Linked DNA regions of Coturnix japonica. The protein of the gene in region 1 purifies or fractionates together with the protein of each later gene. This does not show direct contact. Links are inferred from orthologs where the notes say so. Each region holds a gene or a part of one and is shown in the gene's direction. Other genes may lie near its edges.

Region 1 (4,345 bases):
CTGTTGAACCCAAGCTTAATTTCTTTCTACTTTTATGCTCTTAAGCTACTTAACCGCCTTTGATTTTTATGTTGTAAAATATCTTTGAGGAATTACAAGTTCAAGAAGGAAACGCGGACTTCTTGGTGCCAGAATACCGCAGTATTTTGGAAGAGGCAGATCAGCTGCTGGAGGAATACAAGAAACAACCTGCACATCTCGAGAGACTTTACGGTTTGTTGATCAATTAAACTTCTTGTCCTAACTGCAAATTAACGCTCAGAGAGCGCAACCTGGATGCTGCTGAAGTAGTTATGAGGTCAGCACTAGTAGAGCTGAGATGATTTGATAGGCTGATACACCTCAGTAGCTTTTTACATCTGTACGTTAAGCTTGTCTTTTTTGGCAAGACTGAGGGCTGTGAGTTGGGGTGGAGCTTAAGAATGTATGTATACCTGACTGATGGAGTTCCCAGCATTGAGGTGTTACAAAATAATAGACAAATGCACATGGGGTGGAAGGGGAGGATCTTAGGAGAGGAACTAATTGAGTGAAGGAAAGTCTGTAACCTTCTGTAGAGCTCCCTGTTCAGCTTTCAGCTCAGGGGCTCCCTGTCCTCACATACAGGGCCTGCTCTGTGAGGTCAGCTCCTTCCTCCATTCAGAGACAGGCACGTGTGAGGCAGAAATAACCACGTGGAAATTAAGCTGGTTGCTGGTCGTACTGACAACAGACATTTGACTTTTGCAGGTATGATCACTGATCTCTTCATCGATAAGTTTAAATTTCGAGGCACCAACGTGAAGAGCAAAGTTCCTCTGCTGCTGGAGCTGCTGGATGGCTGCGAGCAGGACCGGCTGCTCGCCTTCTTTGAGGCCGCGTCCTGAGCGGGACAGGACGGGCAGTGTGTGCAGTGTGTGTGTGCAGAGTGTGCTGCCTATTGCCAGGGGAGGGCAGTAGGCACTGGAGTTCATATATATATATATATTAGAATGGACACTCCATATATATAGAGTGCTGCACACAGCAATCTTCACACCTCCACTGAATATACACAGACAGCTGTATCCACCGGCCTTTTTCCTGTACTTTCAGTACAGTTAGAGACGATGCAGAGGGTAGGAATGTAAGAGCGATGTTTGTAAAGTACGTTTAGGATCCTGTACCTGAAGCTGCGAGTTTGTAATTAAAGCTAATTAAAGTTCTAATCCCAGCTGTGGTGTGGTGCGCTGCGCCTGCGCGGTCACCGGGCGGGGCGGGGCCAAGCGGCGCGCGGTGTGCGCTGCGCATGCGCGTTGCGGCGCTCCGGTCCCGCCCCCCGCGCGGCTGGTGCCCGCGTGACGCCTGGCCGCTGATTGGGCGATTCAATAGTCGCGGGCTGCTCGAACGGCGGCAGCGGCTCCGGGCCGCGAGACTGCGCGGCGGCGGGACGCCGGCTCACACCCGCACACACCCGCACATCCGCGCTCCGCGGCCGCCCCCGGCCCTTTCCCCCTCGGCCGCTTCTCCCCCCCCCCGGCGGGCACCATGCTGGCGGAGCAGGAGAACCAGGAGAACGTCCCCCCGCCCGCCAAAGCCCCGCCGCCCGCCGCCGGTACCCGCGTGGCGCTGGGGCTGCTGCGGGGCGGCCCGGCGCGGCCGGGGCTCGGGCTCGGTGCGCAGGTGAGCGGCGGGGCTTTGGCGGGGGGCGGCGGGCGGGCGCCATGTTGGGGCGTTGTGCAGCTGTCAGGGCGGCTGTCACGGCGCTGACCGAGCGCTCCCGCAGGCGGCGCGGAACGGAGAGGGCCGAGGCGCGGCGGCGGGGCGGCATCAGCCCTTCAGCGTCTACGTGGACGAGCCCGACGAGGAGCCGCGGCGGCCTCAGAGGAAGAAGGAGCGGGATGAGGAGGCGGCGGACGCGCCGGGGCTGCGGGCCGCCCTCGGGACCTTGGGGGAGCGGCGGCCCCTGGCGCCCCTGGGCAACGCCATGGAGCTCAGCCTCGGTAAGCGGCGGCACTGCCCCCTCCGCGCCCGGGGCGAGCGCCCGGCCCGCGCGATGTGGTGCCGGCGGCGGGACGCGGCCTGAGGCTGAGGAACGGGGCTGGAGCGCGGGGCTCGGCTGGAGGGAAGGGGGGAGTGTGTTGGGCAGCCGGGAAAGGGCTTCCCGGCCCTTCCTTAGTGGGGACAGCGGGGCGCTTCCTCCTTGAGCCATGGTTCGGCTTCCCCAGGGCCTGCTTGGCCCCCCTGCGTGGCCTCCCGCCGGCCAACAGCATCGCGCCTGCTGCACGGGGTTCTGCCGGGCCCCTTCTAACGAGGCCTTTCTCCTAGACTCCCCGAGTATCATGGATATCTCCATAACTTCAGAAGCAGAAGAGCGACCAAACGTTAACAATGTGCCAGACTATGTCAGCGATATCCACAAGTACCTTAGGGAAATGGAGGTGAGATGCCACCCGTTCTCTTGCTCGCATATTTGGGCTGAGTGTATCTGAGGATAAGTTACTGCCACAGTGACTGAAGTAAAGCTAGGAGTAAGTCCCCCTGCTTCCTGCTGGGAGGTTGGCTGCGCTCTGCACTGAGCACAAGCCACAAAGCACATGATGCAGATGTAACTTTCTGAGTCCAGATTGACCATTGCTTATTGTGACCTGTTAAAAACAGTCTGGGTATGGTAAATGGGAGTATGAGTGACTGCTTCCCTGCAGGCACCCAATCCAAACTCAGTCTTGTCTGTCATCTGAACCCACAGGTAAAATGCAAGCCTAAAATAGGCTACATGAAGAAGCAGCCTGACATCACCAACAACATGCGAGCTATTCTGGTGGACTGGCTGGTGGAAGTTGGAGAAGAGTACAAGCTCCAGAATGAAACTCTGCACTTAGCTGTAAATTACATTGACAGGTTTCTTTCTTCAATGTCTGTTTTGAGAGGAAAGCTCCAGCTTGTGGGTACTGCGGCTATGCTGCTCGCATCGTAAGTAAAAGTTCTTGATGGAAAATAACACCTACTGGTTTCATAGTGATGGAAGTCTTGTAGCTTTCATATGATAGCCTGTAATCATATTGTTTAGTAAGGGCTTTGTAATAGGTTGAAATATACAAAAGCTTGGCAGCCCATGTGAAGCCTTGCAAGTGAGATTCCAGGTTGTCTTTGTAGATTGGCCTAATGGGAGGATTTCCAGATGTAGGAGTGAAAGGCTTCACAAGGGAATTAAGGCAATAGTAAGAAAGAGTATGAAAAAGCTATTTAGTTTTCTTCTGGAATTTCAGTAACTCTTAAGTTCTAAATTACTTAGTCCCAAAATAACAGGCTGTTGAAACTCTTTAACTTCAAATTCAGGTGATTTGAGACCTATCAACCTGAGTGCAGCAAGCTTGCTCAGTCACTGTATCCAGCTACTTTGGAAGTCAGCACACAGTTCAGCACACTGGTTTTAATGAAGTGTTGCTGGTGGCCTGGTTCTCTAGTCCCTAACTGTTTGCTTCTGTTTCTCATGGCAGGAAGTTTGAGGAAATCTACCCCCCTGAAGTAGCAGAGTTTGTCTACATCACGGATGACACCTACAACAAGAAGCAAGTTCTGAGGATGGAGCACTTAATTTTGAAGGTTTTGTCATTTGATTTGGCAGCTCCAACGATCAACCAGTTCCTCACTCAGTATTTCCTGCACCAGCAGACGAACGCTAAAGTTGAGAGCTTATCAATGGTAAGGATTACTAGCTCAGTCTGTGGAACTGTAGAGTTCTGTTGTTAATGCATTTTACAAGAGCTGTTGTATGGGAAATTGGTAATCACAGCCTGAACCTCTGGTTAATCAGCTGAGGCAAGTGTTGGGGCAGCTGTGGGAGCACAGGTGAGAGTAATTTAGCTGTGCTCCAGGAAGGGATGGAGCTTGACTCCACCTTCTCTAGACCTCATTTAAGGGCTGACCATCACTAGGGCAGCATCTCTTGGAGATTGCTCCTTGGTGGAGATTGCTCCTTGGTGGAGATTGCCTCAGCATTTCCCAGTGAAGGCATCCATATCAGTGAGTTTTTCCTCATAAATAACCTTTTGAATGTTACCATCTTTGTATCATTCCACCTTACAGCTGTATTTGTACAGACCAGTGGTAAAGGGCTTTTTAGAGTGGACTTTTCCACCTCCTAATATGTTCAAGTGTGTGATCTCTCTGGGACACATCTGAGAAGTGCTCATGATGTGCCTCTGGCTCCTCCAGAAGCAGATCTGTACTGCTGGAAGCAATAGTGTCATTGCTGCTCTTTGAGACATTCCATTACTGTTACAGTCTGGTACTTGGCCTGGCTCCACATGAATGCTTACTCAAAGCAGGCCAAGACTGCTGCATTTTAGTTTGGGGTTTGTTTCCCTGTTAGGTATTCCCTGTG
Region 2 (3,655 bases), on another chromosome or scaffold:
CCGCCCGGCCCGGCCGACATTAGAGGGCACCATCACCCCGCATATCGGGACCAGCCCCGGGCACGGGTAGTGAACATCTTCCAGAGGGGAATTTTGTTATTGTTGTGTTTTTAAACCTACATTTTGCACCCACGAGGCGTGCTTGGCATCCACCTTCATTTTTTATTACCGTTCTGAATGTAGCCAGGCTGCAATAACTCGAAAGGTCGCCAAGCTGGTGGCACAGCCCAGAGTTCAGAACTCCAAAGTACCACACAAAACTGCCACTGGTGCAAATGCAAAGCTGCAAACTGCCTGTGATCACACACACCCTTGCTACTCTTTATCCTACCCACTGTCTTGCTGCACGAGGACTTCTCGCGGCACCAGCTCTTGCTAAGGCTGCATGGCCCATTGGTCTGGATGCTCCCAACACCCCTCCAGCTTTGGGGCTCCCTAAGATCGCCATAGGTACACCTCCCTGCTGATGAACACACATCCATTCGGATGCGCATCTTAAAAAGGCACTCCCTACCCCACCACAAGGTAAGGACTGCACAAACAGGAGAGCAGCATAATGGTGAGATGAGCTCATGTGCAGCTGACCATGTCTTATCATGGAATCACAAAATGGTTTGGGTTGGAAGGGACCCTCAAGACCTTCCAGTTCCAACCCCTTGCTATAGGCAGGGACACCCCCCTGTAGACCAGGTTGTTCCAAGCCCCATCCAGACTGGCCTGGAGTGCTTCCAGGGAAGCATTTATGTGGCCTTAAAAGTTAGGAGAGGAAAATGCTGTGGTTTCCATGTATTTCTGCTCAGCGAGGCTGCAGTTTATTAATTCCATACAGCCGAGAAGTGCTATTTTTAAAAGCAGCCCTCAGCTTGTTTTGAACTCTGTGAGCATCCCGCTTTGTTTTGCGGCAGGGCAACCAAACCACGGAGCCAGAACCGACCCCGAGTCCTCATCCTGCGCTTGCAGATGCTGAGCAACGTCTCCTCAAGGGAAAAAGGAAGGACAAAACAAACAAACAAAACAGAGAGAGAAAGAAAGGATAAAAACTAACAGTGAGGACGCCCCAAACACGCACACCTCTGGTGGGAAGGCGAGAGGGAGAGGCCGAAAGCAACCCCGAGAAGAGAGGAGAGGAAAGGAGTACAGGGGAGGGAGCAGCGGCCGCTAGCAGACAAAGGCGCGGGGACGCGGCGGGCGGGGAGCTCCGTGCCGCCCCCCGGGGCCGGGCCAGCGCCGGGGCCGCCCCCCCGGGCCGCGGCGGGGCCGGGCCGGGCCAATGCGGCCGGCGGCGGAGCGGCGCTGCCCGGCGCAGCCAATGGAGGGCGCGGGCAGGAGGGCTGCCGCTGGGGGCCGGGGGGCTGCGGGGGGGTCCCCGCCAATCGCGGCGGGCCGGCGGCGGGGAAATACTATTATGCTAATAGTTGTTTTGCTCGTCCTCGCGGGGAGCGGGGTTTAAAAGCCGGGAGCCGGGGGAAGGGGCTCAGAGGCGGAGGCAGGGCCGGAGTGTGTTTGGTGCCGGACTGGACGAGACGGGACGGGCGGCGAGGGGAGCGGCGGGGGCGGGCGGCCACGCACCCACCCACCCCGTGGCGATGTCCGACGTGCACCTTTCGGGTGCGGCAGCGGCCCCGGAGCGCCTGGCGGCTCTGCGGGCGCTGCCCGTGCCCGGCCGCAGCGCCGTCTGCAGGAGCTTATTCGGGCCGGTGGACCACGAGGAGCTGGGCCGGGAGCTGCGGAGCCGTTTGCGGGAGATGGGCGAGGACGATCAGCGCCGCTGGGACTACAACTTCCACACCGACACGCCGCTGCCCGGGCCCGGCCGCCTGCGCTGGGAGGAGGTGGAGGGCGGCACCGTGCCCGCGTTCTACCGGGAGACGCTGCAGGTGGGCCGGCACCGCGTTCCCCTACGCCGTGCCTCCCCGGCCCCGCCGTCCGTCGTCAATACCGCATCCTCCGCCGCCAAGGCTCCGGGAGGGCCGGGGGCGCGCCTGAGCCGAGAGAACCGCGCCGCGCCCCGCCGACGTGCACTGCGGCCACGGCGGAGCGGCCCCACGACCCGCATCACAGGTGCGTGCGTAGGGAGGCCGGGCGGGGGAGAGGGGGTAGCGGCATCGCGGGGCAATCTTTGCGGCTGCTGACGGCCCCCTCCCCCCGTCCCTCTCCACCAGATTTCTTCGCCCGGAGAAAAAGGCCGGCCGAGCCCAAATCGGCGGCCGAACGACCCGTGGGCTGCCCGCAGCCCCCCGCCGCCGTGCCGGCTGAGCACACCCCCCGCAAGCGGCTCCGCTGAGCCAGGTGAGAAGCTCCAGGGAGCCAAAGGGAGGGGGAGGAGCGGACACAGCCTTGTCCACGTCTCTGTCCCCTCGCTTCTAACTCCCTCTTTATCCCTTCAGCCTTTTGCACTACGGCACCCACGGGAGAGGTGCGTAGCCCGCAGGCGCCGTGCCCCGGAGTTGTGGGCAGCCGGGACCCCCCCGCACCGCGCCCGGTCCGGGCCCCGCAGCGCCGCCGGAGTCGGGTCGGAGCCGCAGCGCCCGCCCGCCGGGAGCGGCCGCGCACGGAGCAGTGTTAGCGTACGAGTGTGCAATGTGTGACGTTCTGTACAGAAATGTATTATGCCTAATGTGAGTACACTGGCCAGAAGTGTAAAGCTTTAACGGAGGAAAAAACAAACAAACAAAACAAAAACAAACAAGTCATTTATATGGAAATGTTTAATCTCTGCTGATCTCTCAGTGCAACAAAAAAAGAAGAAAAAGGAAAAAAAAAGGAGAAAGAAGAGGAAAGAAGCACGTGTATATTTGTACAAAACGTTTTCTAAGAGTTATACTAACTTATATTTTCTATTTATGTCAGAAATGTGGATAACTGGTTGACATTCAATAGTCTTTTTTTTTCCCTTTTGGTTAAGCCAGAGGGCACTATATTTGCTTTTGTTATTTACAAAATGTAAATTTATTTTTATAGTCGGATTTTGGTTTTGTTTTTTGTTTTGGCCTTCACGTGATGTAGTAATGAACCCTGCAGTCTGTTCCCTGTACTTGAAGACAAGTTCCTATAGTTCCTGAGCCCGACTGTATCACTACCATTGCCAATAACACCACAACCTCCAATAATAAAAACATCCCAGGAACCTTTGCAATGCTGTGTGCTGTGCTGCTACCCAGGGGGGAGGGGGCGGGGGGGAGGTTGGTTGCATCTTCCAATGCTCCTGCACGCACTGTGACCAAACTGCTGGGGGGACAGTGTGGCTGCAAAGCAGGGTGGGGGTGTATGGGCTGTAGTTGGAGGGGGAAAGAAAAAGGCTTCTTCCCTTACAAACAAGCGAGAGTGCTGCTGGCCATGACAAAATGAGATGGGGAACGCACATGCCTGAAAACACTTGAGTTTTGTCTTTCTGCATCGCGATTCCCTCTTCCCCCAGAGCTGAGGCCCAAGTTGGGCCGAGGGGCAGCCCCACATTAATGGGGGGGAGGGCAGACTGTGCCCTTGGGGGTCCCTTCCGGGTGCACGCCTTCTCCATCATCTCGGGGAAAAGCCCTTTCCCGCCCGAGCCCAGCACTGCTTTCCAGCCCCTATTCCTCCCCCAACCACTACAAGCCAGAAAAGGGCAAAAAAAAGCAGCCCCCAGGCAACATGAACGCTCGCGGGGTGGGGGCAC

The links. The genes of interacting proteins can lie anywhere in the genome.
Region 2: the proteins of CCNA2 (region 1) and CDKN1C purify together in Homo sapiens (affinity purification with mass spectrometry; 3 studies listed by BioGRID and IntAct, counting the BioPlex papers as one, with this or other methods). This does not show direct contact. The link is inferred for Coturnix japonica from reciprocal best matches to the Homo sapiens genes CCNA2 and CDKN1C.

The regions. Positions count from the first base shown.
Region 1 is NC_029519.1:48,271,982-48,276,326, forward strand, and holds the start of CCNA2 (cyclin-A2), read left to right. Parts: upstream 1-1,491; 5' UTR 1,492-1,506; coding exon 1,507-1,641; intron 1,642-1,744; coding exon 1,745-1,961; intron 1,962-2,286; coding exon 2,287-2,399; intron 2,400-2,707; coding exon 2,708-2,931; intron 2,932-3,458; coding exon 3,459-3,663; intron 3,664-4,345. Other genes in the region: BBS7 (Bardet-Biedl syndrome 7 protein), read left to right, coding at 90-213, 730-866. UniProt on the Homo sapiens protein: Cyclin which controls both the G1/S and the G2/M transition phases of the cell cycle. Functions through the formation of specific serine/threonine protein kinase holoenzyme complexes with the cyclin-dependent protein kinases CDK1 or CDK2.
Region 2 is NC_029520.1:11,344,856-11,348,510, reverse strand, and holds CDKN1C (cyclin-dependent kinase inhibitor 1C), read left to right. Parts: upstream 1-1,373; 5' UTR 1,374-1,586; coding exon 1,587-2,061; intron 2,062-2,162; coding exon 2,163-2,284; 3' UTR 2,285-2,289; intron 2,290-2,387; 3' UTR 2,388-3,136; downstream 3,137-3,655. UniProt on the Homo sapiens protein: Potent tight-binding inhibitor of several G1 cyclin/CDK complexes (cyclin E-CDK2, cyclin D2-CDK4, and cyclin A-CDK2) and, to lesser extent, of the mitotic cyclin B-CDC2. Negative regulator of cell proliferation.